Linked DNA regions of Macaca fascicularis. The protein of the gene in region 2 purifies or fractionates together with the protein of the main gene of each other region. This does not show direct contact. Links are inferred from orthologs where the notes say so. Each region holds a gene or a part of one and is shown on either strand. Other genes may lie near its edges.

Evidence for each region. The genes of interacting proteins can lie anywhere in the genome.
Region 1: the proteins of CDC5L (region 2) and CWC15 purify together in Homo sapiens (affinity purification with mass spectrometry; 4 studies listed by BioGRID and IntAct, with this or other methods). This does not show direct contact. The link is inferred for Macaca fascicularis from reciprocal best matches to the Homo sapiens genes CDC5L and CWC15.

What each region holds. Positions count from the first base shown.
Region 1 is NC_088388.1:93,953,970-93,961,005, forward strand, and holds the start of CWC15 (spliceosome-associated protein CWC15 homolog), read right to left. Parts: upstream 5,632-7,036; 5' UTR 5,331-5,631; intron 4,226-5,330; 5' UTR 4,218-4,225; coding exon 4,087-4,217; intron 3,201-4,086; coding exon 3,088-3,200; intron 2,779-3,087; coding exon 2,690-2,778; intron 1,818-2,689; coding exon 1,710-1,817; intron 1-1,709. UniProt on the Homo sapiens protein: Involved in pre-mRNA splicing as component of the spliceosome. Component of the PRP19-CDC5L complex that forms an integral part of the spliceosome and is required for activating pre-mRNA splicing.
Region 2 is NC_088378.1:127,066,969-127,075,087, forward strand, and holds the end of CDC5L (cell division cycle 5-like protein), read right to left. Parts: intron 4,267-8,119; coding exon 4,054-4,266; intron 3,316-4,053; coding exon 3,211-3,315; 3' UTR 185-3,210; downstream 1-184.

The DNA of each region.
Region 1 (7,036 bases), on a different chromosome or scaffold from region 2:
GAAAGTGTGCTGACCCCTGACAAGGGTTAAATGGTTTGAAAAATCTTAAATTTGGGACGTGGCAAAAACCAGCCAATAGAAAGGGAAACAGGGCTAAAAGAAACTAAACTATCATTCAACTCCAAGAAATATCAACACGTTTTATTACATGAAACTCACAAAACTGCAAGGCCTTCTGTCTAAAATGCTTATCGTCCCTCAAGGTCAACCAAAAGCATTTAAATTGCTCATCTCTTTATGTGTCCAGAACTATTAGGCAAGCTAAAAGAATTTGGAACAATTGCCCTCTAGTGGTATGCAAGTGGGATTGGGAATGTTTTTATAATTCTTCGACTTAAAAACTACATGTAAAAACTATAAGCTGTTATAGGAATTATGCTGTCTTATAATACAAAACTTTGATGAGAATTGTATTTTAAAGTGCCTTCCTTCTTCCAATCTGAATTCTAAGTCATCAAAGTCCATCCCAAATTCTACCTCTTTTCTGAATTCTTCCCTGGCCCTTCTGATTCACATGAACTCACTTCCCTAGATTCCTGGTATTGACCATGTAGTATATTTTTTTACTTTCTTTTTTAAAAACAGAACAATTCTTGCATCAAATAAAATTTTACACAGAAATCTACAAAAAAGCTGTGCTGCTCTGGTTGAAAACATCCCTACCTGAATGTCTTATAATGTGTCAAATTCAGTATGTTCAAAACAGATCTCATCAACTACCTCTTCTCTCTGTATAAATATGGCAATTCTTTTGCATTCCCTGTATTGATGTACAGCACCAACATTTACCTACAAAGTGAGGGTCCTCTCTGCTGCCACAATCAATCAGTCACTTTGTCAACTCTACTTCTTTTATTTTTTATTTTTTCCTGCTCCCCTTCCCACTTTGACCTCCTTGATAATCAGTTCTATCAGCATCTAATTACTTATCTTAATTCCAACTCCTATCATACAAGTTAAGAGTCTCTTAATTGGTAAGATTACTGAAACAGCCTCCTAACTCAGTTTTTTTCCAATCCATCCTGCGTATTTTTGCCAGAGTAATCTCTCTAAAATGCATATCCAATTTTATCAATCTCCTGCTTAAATCAACCAGCTCCTCATGTCCTTTAGAAAAAAATCTAGACTCCTTCAGCATTGTTTTGCAAATCTCTAATGCTCTGACTTGTGCTTGCCTCCTCAGTTTCACCTCTTATTATCACTCTGGGTAATTCATTAAGAGTTTTAACTATCTTTGAGTTTTATATTTTTTCCTCATATTGTGTAAACGGAGAGACTGTGGGGGCTCAGCAAAGTTAGGTAGCTTGACCTAGGTTATATAATATCTACTGACTAATTGCCTTAATAGTACCTAGGCAGGTGACAGAGAGATAATCTTTGTAGACCATGACTATATCTTGATCATCTTTGATTCTCCTGTCAATTAACAGATATTGACTAAATGTTGAACAAATGAATAAACTAGTGAATGACTAGCAAGCTGGTGAATATTACTCAATGTATCTGAACTATTGGGAAAGAATTTTTAACATAACCAGAATACCTAGGATGTCACAAAAATAATAAGATTTATAGATCTACAAGTGCTATAATATTTAGACACAGTAAGGGAGATTTCTAATATAAGAAGGTATTACTTATATTCAAAAAAATTTCTACTTTAGTATATGTGAGAGGAGAGATGTAAATATTTAACACTTTGGTTTTACCTTCCTGGCCTGCTCTTCAGCTCTTTCCTTTTTAATTTTTTCCAGTTCTGCAAGAAGAGCTGCAGTATCATCATCATCACTTTCTTCTTCAAAATCTTCATCTTCTTCCTAAAAGAACAGTGAGAGCCCAGAAGATTGGAGGGAAAATATACATTACCAAAACACAGTACATATGTACAATATATCACCCTAAGAAAGTCAAAACAATTTTATGTAGCTCAAAACAACTTTAAGCTAGCAAGTAAAGATAATCAAAAGTGCAAAAAACTGCTAATTTCTCAGAAGAAAATAATTTCAAATGAATAATCATTAAATTTCACTTGAAATTAGGTTTCTTGTTTTAACTATTATGAGTAACTCCATCATTTAACTCTAGAATTAACTGCTGATATGTATACACAGGTAGATATTACTCATTGGATGCCACTCAGGTTTTTCACTGTCCTGTATGTAGAAAACTGCAAACTGATTATAGGCTCTAGGGTCCCACAGAATTTTATCATTAACTGATGTGCTAATCCTTAAAAACCTTCTGCTTAGATTACTTCCCTCACTAAGCACAGAGGGAACCATTAAGTGTACTCCACTTATAGAAAGGGGCATATCTAATGTGGAAAGGCCTCCAGGTACAACTCTAGAGGGCACTGTTTATAGGAAACCCAGTGTGAAGAGTGCCCTGTAGAGGTGTGTAACACACCATAGTGCAGTAGTTTAGTACAGGACATTATTTTGCGGGAAAGCATGTCTTTTAAGATTCCTTCCATATTTGGTTCTCTAGAGACCAAACTTGTTCTTAAAAGTCCCACAAAATAATACTTTTTGTTTTAAAATCAACTATAAAGTTTAGCACTGAGGTCAGGGTTATATTTGAATAACAGCAAGCAAATATATGTCACTTCTTAAAGCCAAAGGCATAACAAGTATTTCAGAAAAACATGGTAAATCAATTATTAGAGATGAAAGGAGAAAACAAAACATACATCTGTTAGAGGGTCATCTGCATCAAGGTTGGCAGCAGGAATCTGGTCTAACCGTGGCTTTTTTGACACTGAAGAGGAGGTTGTATGTTCTGAGGGGAAACAAAAATCACTTAACTTAGTAAAACAAATACTGCATCTCTTAAAATGTTTTAGGGACCTGTGGGCACGAGGAGCCCACACTGAAAGCATTATCCACAGTGAAATCACATCCACAGTGCCTGGGCAAATAAGCCTTTGGTAAATATTTGTTATTGTTATCTCTAATGACTTAAGAAAGTATTACAGCTCACATCAATCTGTAAAAGCAAACAAATGGTTAATATTTTCCAGTTGCTACATAAAAGAAAAACTATCAACAACATAATTTTAGAGATAAATGTCTTGGATAGTGTTGGTACCTCGGGTTGGACGATCTCTGTTTTTCTCTCTTGCAGCAGCTCTCTCTCTTTCTTCCAACTCTCTCCTGAAGTCACGGTTACGAACCTCTTCAGGGGCATCCTGAGTAGTTTGTCTAAAGTAGAAACAAACCAGGGCAAAAATGTTACTTAAACACACACACACATACACACACACACGACTGTGGTAATGGAAGACAATTCAGGAATGAGACTTTGTCCTTCAAGCATAAAAAAGGGAAGTAGATAAGATCATAATCTAATCTGAAAGTTACTAACAGCCACTCTTGTGATGTTCCCAATATTTCAAGAAGTCCAAATTCAATCACGTATTTTCCTATAATAAGGCTTTACGTGATTAAAATGTCTTTAATTTTTATTGGTATTATCAACTCAGAACTTAACAGTAATACTTTTAATATATTGACTGGTGCTGATAGTGCATAATCTCTCTGAGGCATTATTATTTCTGTTATTTATTGTTGTATCTACATACGAAAATTTCTGGTTAGTAGGAATTTTGCATTTTAAAACCACAGGGCAGAATTTTAGTGTTAAACATCCTATTGCATTCTAATCCTATGATAATAGATAAGTGACATAACTCGAACATACTACTATATCATGACCATGCCATTTAACAGATTTGGTCTTGTTTTGTGAACAAGAAAAAAAAGAGGCTGGGCGCGGTGGCTCAAGCCTGTAATCCCAGCACTTTGGGAGGCCGAGATGGGCAGATCACAAGGTCAGGAGATCGAGACCATCCTGGCTAACACGGTGAAACCCCGTCTCTACTAAAAAATACAAAAACCTAGCCGGGGGAGGTGGCGGGCGTCTGTAGTCCCAGCTACTCGGGAGGCTGAGGCAGGAGAATGGCGTGAACCCGGGAGGTGGAGCTTGCAGTGGGCTGAGATCCGGCCACTGCACTCCAGTCTGGGCGACAAAGCGAGACTCTGTCTCAACAAAAAAAAAAAAGAAAGAAAAAAAAGAAAGTCTTACTACCTGTATTTTATCTTTGTGTGAGAGGGTAGGTCTCTGCTTGAATACTGCTTTGAAAGTTGGCTCAAATCACCTTCTCCTTTTCCCCTTCCACCTCTTGCAGGTTCAAAGGTTGGCCTGGCTGCTGTTGTCATCTTTTATGCTTTGAAGAAAAATATAATCAAGTTATTTACAACAATACAAACACTCATTTTACAGAGTATTAATATCCATACTAGTGAAATAAATTCTAAAACTCATTCCCCTAAACCTGCTTAATCTTCTTAAACAAAAGTTTTCAGGAAAACAAATTATGAGGCTTAGGCCGTACAACGAATAGGGCTTCTCCGGCTTGTCTTAGTACAAAAAATTCTGTCATGAAGATCTGAGTTTGCATCCCTATTCTCCTTCTGACTATATGGGCTTGAGCAAGTCACCTGGCTTAACTTTCTGTCATCCGTGGAATGGAGATATTCCTCATAGGATTACTATAAGAATTATGACACTTGACATGTCAAAAGCCTTGAAAAATACAGTACTACCATGACTAAGTTTTAAAAATTTCCAACTCAACCTTACTCTACCAGACTCTCTAAGGTTTGCATTTTATCTAAACTTCACACAATAGCAAATAGGCTAGTAGAAACAAAAGCTAAAAACAAACAAAAAATATCACTGACAAAGTTACTAAGTGTCTGAGAAAAAAGTTACTAAGGAAAGTGTGTTAAACTTCAATGACAGGTACATAGAAAAAAATTCTTAACCTTTTGTTGAGCCAATTTTCTCCTACAACAGGCATCATATTATAAATCAGATCGTTTGTGGGTTATAACTTAAGGACTGTTCAAAAAAAACAAAAACAAAAACAAAACAGGAACCTCAGCCCCAGAGGATTCTGATGACAAAAATCAGGGACCCATTCCTTAAGTTACTTTCTGCTTGGAGCAGTCACAAGAATACTGCCTAGCAGATGCAGTCATTAAAACCCTGTTAGTGTCGGAAAAGCAAGTGTGTGGGGAGGGTGGGCGAACTGGGAGGATTTTTTTTTGTGGGGGGGAGTGCTTTCTCCTAATTTTCAAAAAGAGTAAGAGACATGTATACAAAGAAGAAACGGGGTTATCTGGAGCTGGGAGTCCGCCCCTTCCCACACACTAACGGAATTATTACTCCGGCCTCTCGTGAGCTAGTCTTTGGCTATAACCAGAAACTCGTTGCCCCTTAACCCGTGCCCAGCGCCGCAGGGGTGCGAGGGGTAGTGAAAGGAGGACCTGGGGTTCGCTTTACGCGGTAGGCGCGCTGCCTTTTATGCTGCGATCTCCTCTGCGGGCCCGAGAGCTCCGGACGCGCCTGACAGGCACTCCGTTTCGCCCCTAGCCCGCTGCTCTAGGTCCTCCACCGCCCGCACTCTGCACTCTGCCGCCGACTCCGACCCCAACTGCCCTTTCCCGTCCCACCGGGATGAGGAAGATAACCTATCCTCCTGCCGCTCACACTGGCCGAGGTCCGATGCAGCAATCTCCGAAGATCATACAGACGCCATTACGACTCCGAGCTCCCAGAAACCTCTGCGCCCAGGGCTAGCGCCTACGACCCGGAAGCAAAATCCAAGCGCTTCGGAGGCGGAAGCAACGACCAATCCGCAGTGGCCGAAGTGGAAGTCGGCGTAACGGCACTAGGGGGCGGGGCCGAAACGGCCCAGGGGGCGGGCGTTTGAAATCAGTGCCTTAGAGTAGACCCTAAACATCATTTTATACCTTCAAGAACCAATTACTTAATGTCTCTTCCGTCTTTTCCGTCCCCGACCCCCTCCCAGACTCCTTCATTCCGGTACTGCGTGGACGGAAAGCCCCGGGTAGCCGACACCACGTCCCCGGCTAGCGGGAGAGAGCGTGGAAAAGGATTACACCAAACTGTTTAAATCCAACGACTCCTGCTTCCATCCTTTCTCCTGAGCTAGAACCAACAAACCTAGAGAGTTGGGCTTCGGAAAAACTAGTGTTTTCATTTAATTGGATATGAAGAAAGAACAAATATGTACGGGGCAACCACGATCTTTACAAAGGTACATTCCTGCAAAAATATTAACACTTCAAAGCAAAGGTTGTATTCGTAATGTTTGCTAAAATTTTTTATTTAAAAAACGTTAGTTTTAGTGGGAGGGGAGATGTCAATATTTACGACAGCGTTTAGAACGGTGGGCCCAACTGCCAGGAGCACAAGATGTAATTACTAAGATGGCTACTTAAGTGTTAAGTTTTAATAAGAACGAAAAGGAGAAAACCCAAAAACCAAAAACCCACCAATCCTGTCTCCTCCCTTCCATAAAAAAAAATCCTGAGAACAGAGATCTTGATTGTTTAGCTAATCTTAGTATCTCATCACATAGACCTTGACATATAGTAGCTGCTCAATTAATATTTGTTAAACAAATGAAAATTCAACTTCCCCAACTTAGTTTAAAATATAAAGAACTCACAAAGTTGAATATTTAAATGCTTTCTTACCTCTAAATTCTTTGCAACTTTTAAATGAAGAAAGAAAAGCAGAAAAAGCCCTTTCACTCATAGAGTTCAAGATGAAAATCTTGATTTTTCTTACTAAAGGTATCCCTCCTCCAGTCTTACACGTCTCACTAAAGGACACGATCATCATACTAGTTACTCAAACCAAAATCCCAGAGTGCCTACTTAAATTCCTTTTCTTTCACTTTTCACATACGGTTCATTTACAGGTCTTACCAATTCTACTTTTAAAACTTACCCGAAATTTTATTCTACTGCCATTACCCTTGTCCTGGCCAACACCATCTCCTACCTGGATTGTAATTGTTTCCTATTGTATCTTCCTGCGTCATCTTTTATCCTACAGTCAATGCTGCATATAGCCAAGAGAGTGATCTTTTAAAATTAATCAAATGGTGTTACTATCCTGTGTAAAATTTCACTGCACTTAGGATAAAAATCACATTTCTTAA
Region 2 (8,119 bases):
CACTCCAGCCTGGGTGATAGAGCAAGACTCCACTTAAAAAAAAAGTACAATAGCCCAAAAGACCAATCTCACTAATGTAAAAATGTAAATTTCCTAAATAAAAGATTAGTAAATCAAATTCAAATGCATTTGTAGGGAAGATACATGGTTAGCCAACATTAAGTCTGCAATCACTGTAGTGTAGTTTTTCTTTGATTTCGTTTATTAGACAGCATTATGTCTTTAATATTTCAAAAAGGACTCTCCCTTGTGGTGGTTTCTTTCAGCTTTTTATCACATTTTATTTCTATCCCAAAGTTACCGAGACTTTAACATGCTTAACAAAATTTTAACAATAGCTTAATGAATGCCTTAATGACCAATACCTTAGTGAACAATACCAAGGTATTGAAGGTTATTTTTATTGTGATTATTTTTTAATAGAGACAGGGTCTCACTATGTTACCCAGGCTAATCTTGAACTCCTGAGCTCAAATGATCCTCCCACCTTGGCCTCCCAAAGTGCTAGGATTACAGGCATGACCCACCACCCCTGGCCTCAATGTGAATGTTAAAATAGTAACCAAAATTGCTGTGTGGTGCTGGTAAAGAATCCTGGGCTTTACAGGATACTAACAAAGGATAACAGTGTGTCTGTTCACCATTTCAAGTGGCACTGCTACCTGGCAAACGCATATGCAGTTTACGATGCGCCAGTTTTGATATTTTGTAATTCTTGCCAATTTTTTTAGGTTATAAGTTTGTGCATTACTTCAAATTTTAAGAACAAAGTGAGCCTTTATTAATATTAGATCGACTTTTAAATCCATATGTCTACAAAAAATGCAAATAAACTATAAATCCTTTAAAACTTTTTAAAAATTAATCTACCTGATTCCAGGAGTGCAAAGATGATTTAATGTGGGAAAATCTATTAATACAGCTCATCAGAACATCAAATGAGAAAAATTATATGAATGCTTTAATAGATGCCCGAATGGTATATTTTTTAAAGTTCCAGAGCCATTTCTAATTCAAACTCTTTAAAAATTAAAAAAGAGACACTATCTTTCAGATAAAGACTATCTAACTCCCAACAGCAAACTTAAAAGTAAAAACTATGGACATTTCCATTAAAATGAGGGAAAAAAAAGTCTAACATCATTATTGTTATTTAACATTGTCCTAAACATTTCTGCTAACAAAACATGCAATAAAAGTGAAATAGAACTATCAGAAGAACCACTATCATTATTCACTGATGATACTGAAGTTTTTCCTAGAAAACCCAGAACTTACTGAAAAAAGTATTTGAATTAAGTGACTACATACCAGGAAAATATGAATTTATGGTCTGATAAGACTATTAAGAATACAACTATCATGTCTCTCCACATATCTCCACTACTATTACCTGGACCCTAGTTAGAATCACTATTATTTTTTTGTCTGGATGACTGCATCAGGCTCCTAAATGGACTGGTTTCCCTATTCCCAGCCTGGTGAGATCTTACACAGTTAAGGAGATAAAGTGATGTTTCTAAAACCAAATCTGATTATGTCATTCCTTTGCTTAGATCTTCTCATAGATTCTTATCATATTTAAAGTAAGATCCAAATTCCTTATTATAGCCTTATTTATGTGGCTCTATACAACCAGGCCTTACATACAGAAATGCCATTCTTGACACTCCAGCCACATAGTCCTTTTTGTTCCTCAAACATACAAAAGAGGCTTTATGTTTGCTATTCACTCCACCTGGGATGCTCTTTCCTTGAATCTCACAAAGATGGCCCATTCTAAAATGTCAATCACATGTTATCTTAAATGTTACTTCTTTAAGAGGTCTCCTTGGCCATGCAGCTTATAGTGGTATGGTGTGGTACAGTGCAGTGGTATAGTGGTGAGCACAGCTGCCTTCCAAGAGGTCTCTTTGATCGTCCAGTCTAAAATAGCCAGTCATTCACTATCTCATAATCACCCTACTTTAATTTCCTCCACAGAATCTGAAACTCATGGTCTGATACTTTCCCTGTACATATTTAGTATCTCCTCCCCACTAATGTCACCTCCATGACAGCAAGAACTCGGTCTTAATAACTGCTTATCTCCAACACTTAAGTAAGTGTCTGACACATAAGAATCACCAAATAAACATTTGGATTTTAATTGTCTGTTATTCTCAAAAGACTATAAGCTCTACTAAACAAGAACTAGGCCTATTTTGTTCATTGTTCTCTCTCTAAAACTCTGGCACAGGGTATACATTCAATATCTGATGAATGAATGAATGAATGAATCCCTTCCCTTCCTATAGTTCCTAGTATTCTAAGACTGGGCAAATGTTTTTGGTCATCTCAAAACATTGCTGGCCTATAATGAGCTCATAGCCAACTGATACTGTACACTAAATTAATTTATATGAATTATTATAAAATTAAATCTCTCCACCTCTATCCATTCCCCACATTCTACACTGATGTAACTGACTTCTTACGCTAAACATAGAGCTTTAAGTTTGATGGCCTTCTTGAAATTAACTTTTAAAATGCCTTTGTCAAAAAATACTTACAAGAAAATAATGGGTCAAGGAAAATTAAATATTTTAAGCCCTGACCCATAAATTATTTAAGTAGCTGGAGGAGAAGAAACCTTCTTTAAAGTGATATTTTAAAAAAATTTGAGGTACTAAAAAGTTAATCTAACTCATCAGTGTACACAGAAATGACCATTCTTTGCTGAAACTAACAAAGCCACAAAGAACTGCCTCTTAAGTGTTTAAGATACTGCATCACCATTTTGATTACCCAAGAGTTACTCATTAAATATGACACAGAGTACATAGCTGCTGGTTTGCGGGCACTCTTAAGTATCTAATTACTTAAAACAAAAGGCTACATTCTCAATTTTTTATATTTTGTTTTTATTTAAGAGTTACTCACAGGCAGCACTTTAAAATTAGGCTTTTTAAATTAAAGGCCAAAACTAAAAAAGTTTGCAAATATGACATTGCTAAAAGAATGACAGCCTTAATAATTTAAACTCTAAAATGTCCGTCCTGTGGAGTTAAGGTCTTTATACACAGAATGTGTAAGATCGATATCATTTAAAATAAACAACCAAAAAACCACAGATGGTGGGTAAATTTGTCAATGAAGATAAACATCAGTTTCAGCCTTCTAGAGTATGAAAACCGGCAATTAATCCTGTGACAGAATATAAACTGTACTTCAGAACTTTGACTTTAAAGTCTCTTTCTCCAGCAGCAAATCAGCGTATCTATGTTGAAGTTCCTTTTCTCTTTCTTGTTGTCGCTGAACATCTTCTTTTAGACACTTAAAGAAACAAAAATATTAAGTAATTCTTTTAGATGTAACTATATTGAAAAAAATCTACAGTACTTTACTATCTTAAAAACCAGCCGAGTTAAATCATGATTCTTAAGAGGTAAAAATTTCTCAAAGAGAAACAAACATATCAAATACTTTTGCTATAAAACCAGTATCACAGCCATTCTTTGATTTGGTCATATGAAATCCTGCTGCTACTTCAAATAAACAAACCACTACTGTCTTATCAGTACCCACAAATGCACTTCAAGAAGCCCTGGCTGCCCTTTAGCTGGACAGGAGCTATTATGCACATTTGGGAGATAAATTGAATCCAAATCCGGTCAAAGGAATTTGATGGTTTGGAAGGACTAGCTATGTTCCCAGCCACCTAAGTTATAAAACAGAAAGATATTGGTTTAGTTTCCCCTCACAGAGCTACACGAATGGGATGTGATCAAGTTTCAAGGGGACAAATTACAAGGGCTAAGTATTCCATTTCACAGTGTATCTACGTATGAAACAGAACATGAGTAAAGGAAGGCCTTTGTATCTACAACTTGCCTAGTCTATCCATCTACACAGAGGCAATTCTAGATTAAAGTCAAACACTTTAGGCTCTCATTTTTAAAAGCCTGACAGTACCAACTTCAGAGACAGCCTACATAGGAGAAGTAAAAGAGGACAGCCCTGATAATTCTTTGCAGCACTCTTTTAAAGCAACGCTTCAATATATAACGTTACCTCTAGCCTCCGGGGAATAGCAGAATCTTCATGTTTCTTGAGTTCTTCAAAAGTGCGTAACTCCAAGTGAGCCTGTTCAATTTGGTCCCATAAGTCATTCAACTGTTTCATGAGCCCCATAGCACGAGACTGGTAACCCCCAAGCAAAATTTTCATCTTCTTTTCCATCTTTGCAGCTCTCTTGGCTTCTGTCGTCATGTGACCCCTGTTTATCTGGAGAGCAGGGGAAGATCACATCAGCATACATGAGAAAAGTAGGCTATTAAATAAAGGGCTAAAAAGGTGCCATTCGTTCATGCATGTGCCTCAAAGCAAAAATACACTAGAACTCCTTATAGCTCAACTACTGTAAAAAAAAAAAAAAAAAAAAAAAAATCAAGCTTAAGAAGGATTTATCTTGCACCTAAAGGGTTTTATAGGTGAGTACCAAATAATCTATAATCTATTTATAATAATTTGACCCATGACTGAACCTCAAAGCGGGCTTGAATGTCACAGTAGGGGAAAAACTAATGCCTACTTTCTGAAAATGACTTCTGCTATCATTCAACATATTTATTTTGGGACTAGCTACAAGCCATCTTCATCATCTATATCCCAAAAATGTACTTCTGGGAGTCTGTTCACACATCAAGACCCCAACTTTTACAGTTTCCATCCCAGGGCCTGCATCCTAAATCTCCTGGCTCTGGGAGCTGAGGGATCTAGTGCAAGTCTTCCTAGATCACTACATCCCTAGAACAAAGAGATACTTTTAATCAAGCATGCAAGTACTTTCACAGACTGCACCCGTTGGGGGCAGTGCAGAGAAGGAGCCAAAAACATGAAGCTCCACATTTCTCCCTGGAAGGGGCTCATGGCACAGTCTTCCAGTGGCTACTTGACAGCCTGGCTTTTAACGTGCATGGGGAGTTAATGGGACAGTGGAGTGCAAAAGTAGCCTTCTGGCAGCCTAAGCAGCAGCTGGACACTTTCCAAGCCTTTCCCCCTAGTCTGCCCCAGCAGTAACTCTAGGCCTACCAATTCCTCCTAGAAGGAGTTTATCCACACATCAAATGCCTCAATTTGCACAGCATCTACCCAAAGGACTATATCCTAAATCTCCTAGATCTGGTAATGGAAGAGACTAAGCATATGCATGTCTCTCTAGATCAGAAAACAAGGAGGTGGTTTTAAACAGGTGTGCAAATACTTTCTAGGGCTACACTCTCTGGGAGCAGTGAAGAAAAGAGTCTGGAACATGCAGCTCTCATTTTCTCTCCAGAAAGGGTTTATAACCACATACTCTTCCAGTGGCTACTTGACAGCCTGGCCTCTAACTTGCATCAGAGAGCTAATGCGGGAGATAAACAGTACCCCTCAGGCAGCCTGAGCAGGAACTTGGCATATCCTGAGCCTTTCCCCCAGCACATCCCACTGATAATTCCAGGCCTACTCATTCTTCCTAAAAGGAGTTTGTCTACAGACTGCGTGCCACACTTTTACAGCTCCACACAGACAAGGGACTGTACCCTTCACAACCTAAGCTCTGGAAAGTGACAGGGCTTTGCATTCCTGAATCTCCCTAAACCACAGAAAACAGAGGTGGACATACTACGAGCCCACTTCCAGCAGATTATCTCACCAGGATCACAGAGTGCAGCCACAACACAAGCATAGGCATTTGCCACAGAGACGGCTTAGTGTAGAGAGAGTGGAAGAATCAAGCACTTATCTTCAACATGATGACAGAAGGAACTAGGACACATACCCAACACCTCAACCTTCCCAGCTACATCGAAGCATCTGGCTTCTACCTGACTGATTACAGGGTATTGATGGAATATAGTACCAAGAATAGAGACAGCAGTCTGAACAAATACAAAGATTTAAAGGGTATCTTAAAATATCTAGCTGGATGGATTGGCAAGATCCTTCTGCTACACAAGGCCAGTCTAAGAAGTCTGAGAGAGGCAGTTGTCTCATGTAACGCACAGAAACCAACACAGAGACAGCCAAGAACAATTAAGAAATAGGAAAATATATTCCCAAAAAAAAAAAAAGAAACAAAATAAAGCAATAAAAACCAACCCAAGTGAACTGGAGATATATGATTTACCCAACAGGAAATTCCAAATAATGGTCACAAAGATGCTCACCGAGGTCAAGTGAGCAATGCAAGAACAAACTGAGAACTTCCACAAAGAGACAGAAAGTATTAAAAAGTACCAATGAGAAAACATAGATCTGAAAACTACTAAAACTGAACTGAAAAATTCAATATGGGGGTTTGACAGCAGACTAGTTTAAGCAGACGAAAGGATCAGTAAACTAGAAGACCGGTCACTGGAAATCATCTAACCTCAGGAGCAAAAAGAAAAAATAATGAAAAAGAATGACCTAAGAGACTTATGGGACACCATCATGGAGAACAACTTATGCATTATCAGGTGCCAGAAGGAGAAAAGAACAAGTAACATATTCAAAGAAATAATGGCAGAAAACTTCCCAAGCCTGGGGAAGGAAATGGAAAGCCAGATCCAGGAAGCCCAAAAGACACCAAATAAGATAAATTCAAAGAGACCCACCAAGACACATCACAATTAAAATGTCAAAAACTAATGGCAGAGTATTGAAAACCGCAAGAAAAAAGCATATCACCATGTATAAAGGAACCTCCATAAGACTATCAGAGAATTTCTCAGCAGAAACCTTACAGGCCAGAAGAGAGTGGGATGATATATTTAAAAATGAAAAAGAAAAGAAAGAGAAGGAAAGGAAAGGGAAAGGGAAAAGAAGAGAGAAGAAAAAGAAAGAGAAGAAAGAGAGAGCAAGAGAAACTGCTAACCAAGAATACTATACCCAGCAATCCTGTATTTCAAAACCAAATGGATGATAAAGACTTTCTCAGTCAGAACTGACTTTATCACCACTAGACCTGCCTTACAGGAAATGCTAAAAGGAGTTCTTCAAGCTGAAGGAAGAAAACACTTATTAGTAACATGAAAATATATTAAAGTACAAAACTTGTTTTTTGTTTATTTTGGATATTAACCCCTTATCCAGGCTGGGCGTGGTTTGTACGTTGTCATATCCAAACATTCTAATACTCTAATGGCAGTGAGTAAATCAATTATATCTCTAGTATAAAGGTTAAAAGGCAAAACTATTAACAACTAAAGTGCAACAATTTGTTAAGGGAATATTATATAAAAATTTTAAGTATAACATCAGAAACATAAAATATGGGAGAAAGGGGTGTAAAAGTGCATAGTTTGTGTATGCAATTGAAATTAAGTTATCAACTTAAAATACCCTGTTATATAAGCTCTTTTATGTAAGCCTCAAGCTAACCACAAAGCAAAACTCTGTAACAGACAGACAAGAGATAAAAAGATAAAATCCAAAGCATACCACTACAGAAAGCCATTAAGACACACACACACACACACACACACACACACACGAGGAGGAATAGAACAAAGGATCTATAAACAGAAAACAATTGGCACTGGTTAAGTCCCTCACCTATTAATAATTACTCTGTAAATGGATTAAATTCCCCAATCAAAAGGCATAGAGTGGGCCAGGCACGGCGGCTCACGCCTGTAATCCCAGCACTTTGGGAGGCTGAGGCAGGCGCGTCATGAGGTCAAGAAATCAAGACCATTCTGGCCAACATAGTGAAACCCCGTCTGTACTAAAAATACAAAAATTATCCGGGCATGGTGGCAGGCGCCTGTAGTCCCAGCTACTCGGGAGGCTGAAGCAGGAGAATCGCTTGAACCCAGGAGGCAGAGGTTGCAGTGAGCCCAGATCGCGCCACTGCACTCCCGTCTGGCAACAGAGCAAGACTCCATCTCAAAAAAATAAAAGGCATAGTGGCTATTAATAAAAAGAACAAGAACTTTTTAATCAATAAAAAGAACAAGACCTCACAAAGTGCTGGGATTACAGATGTGAGCCACCACGCCCCAGCCTGGATAAGGGGTTAATATCCAAAATATCCAAAAAACAAACAAACAAAAAAGCTCAAACTACTCAATAAAAAAACAAGTAACCCTATTTTTAAAATGGGGAAAGGACC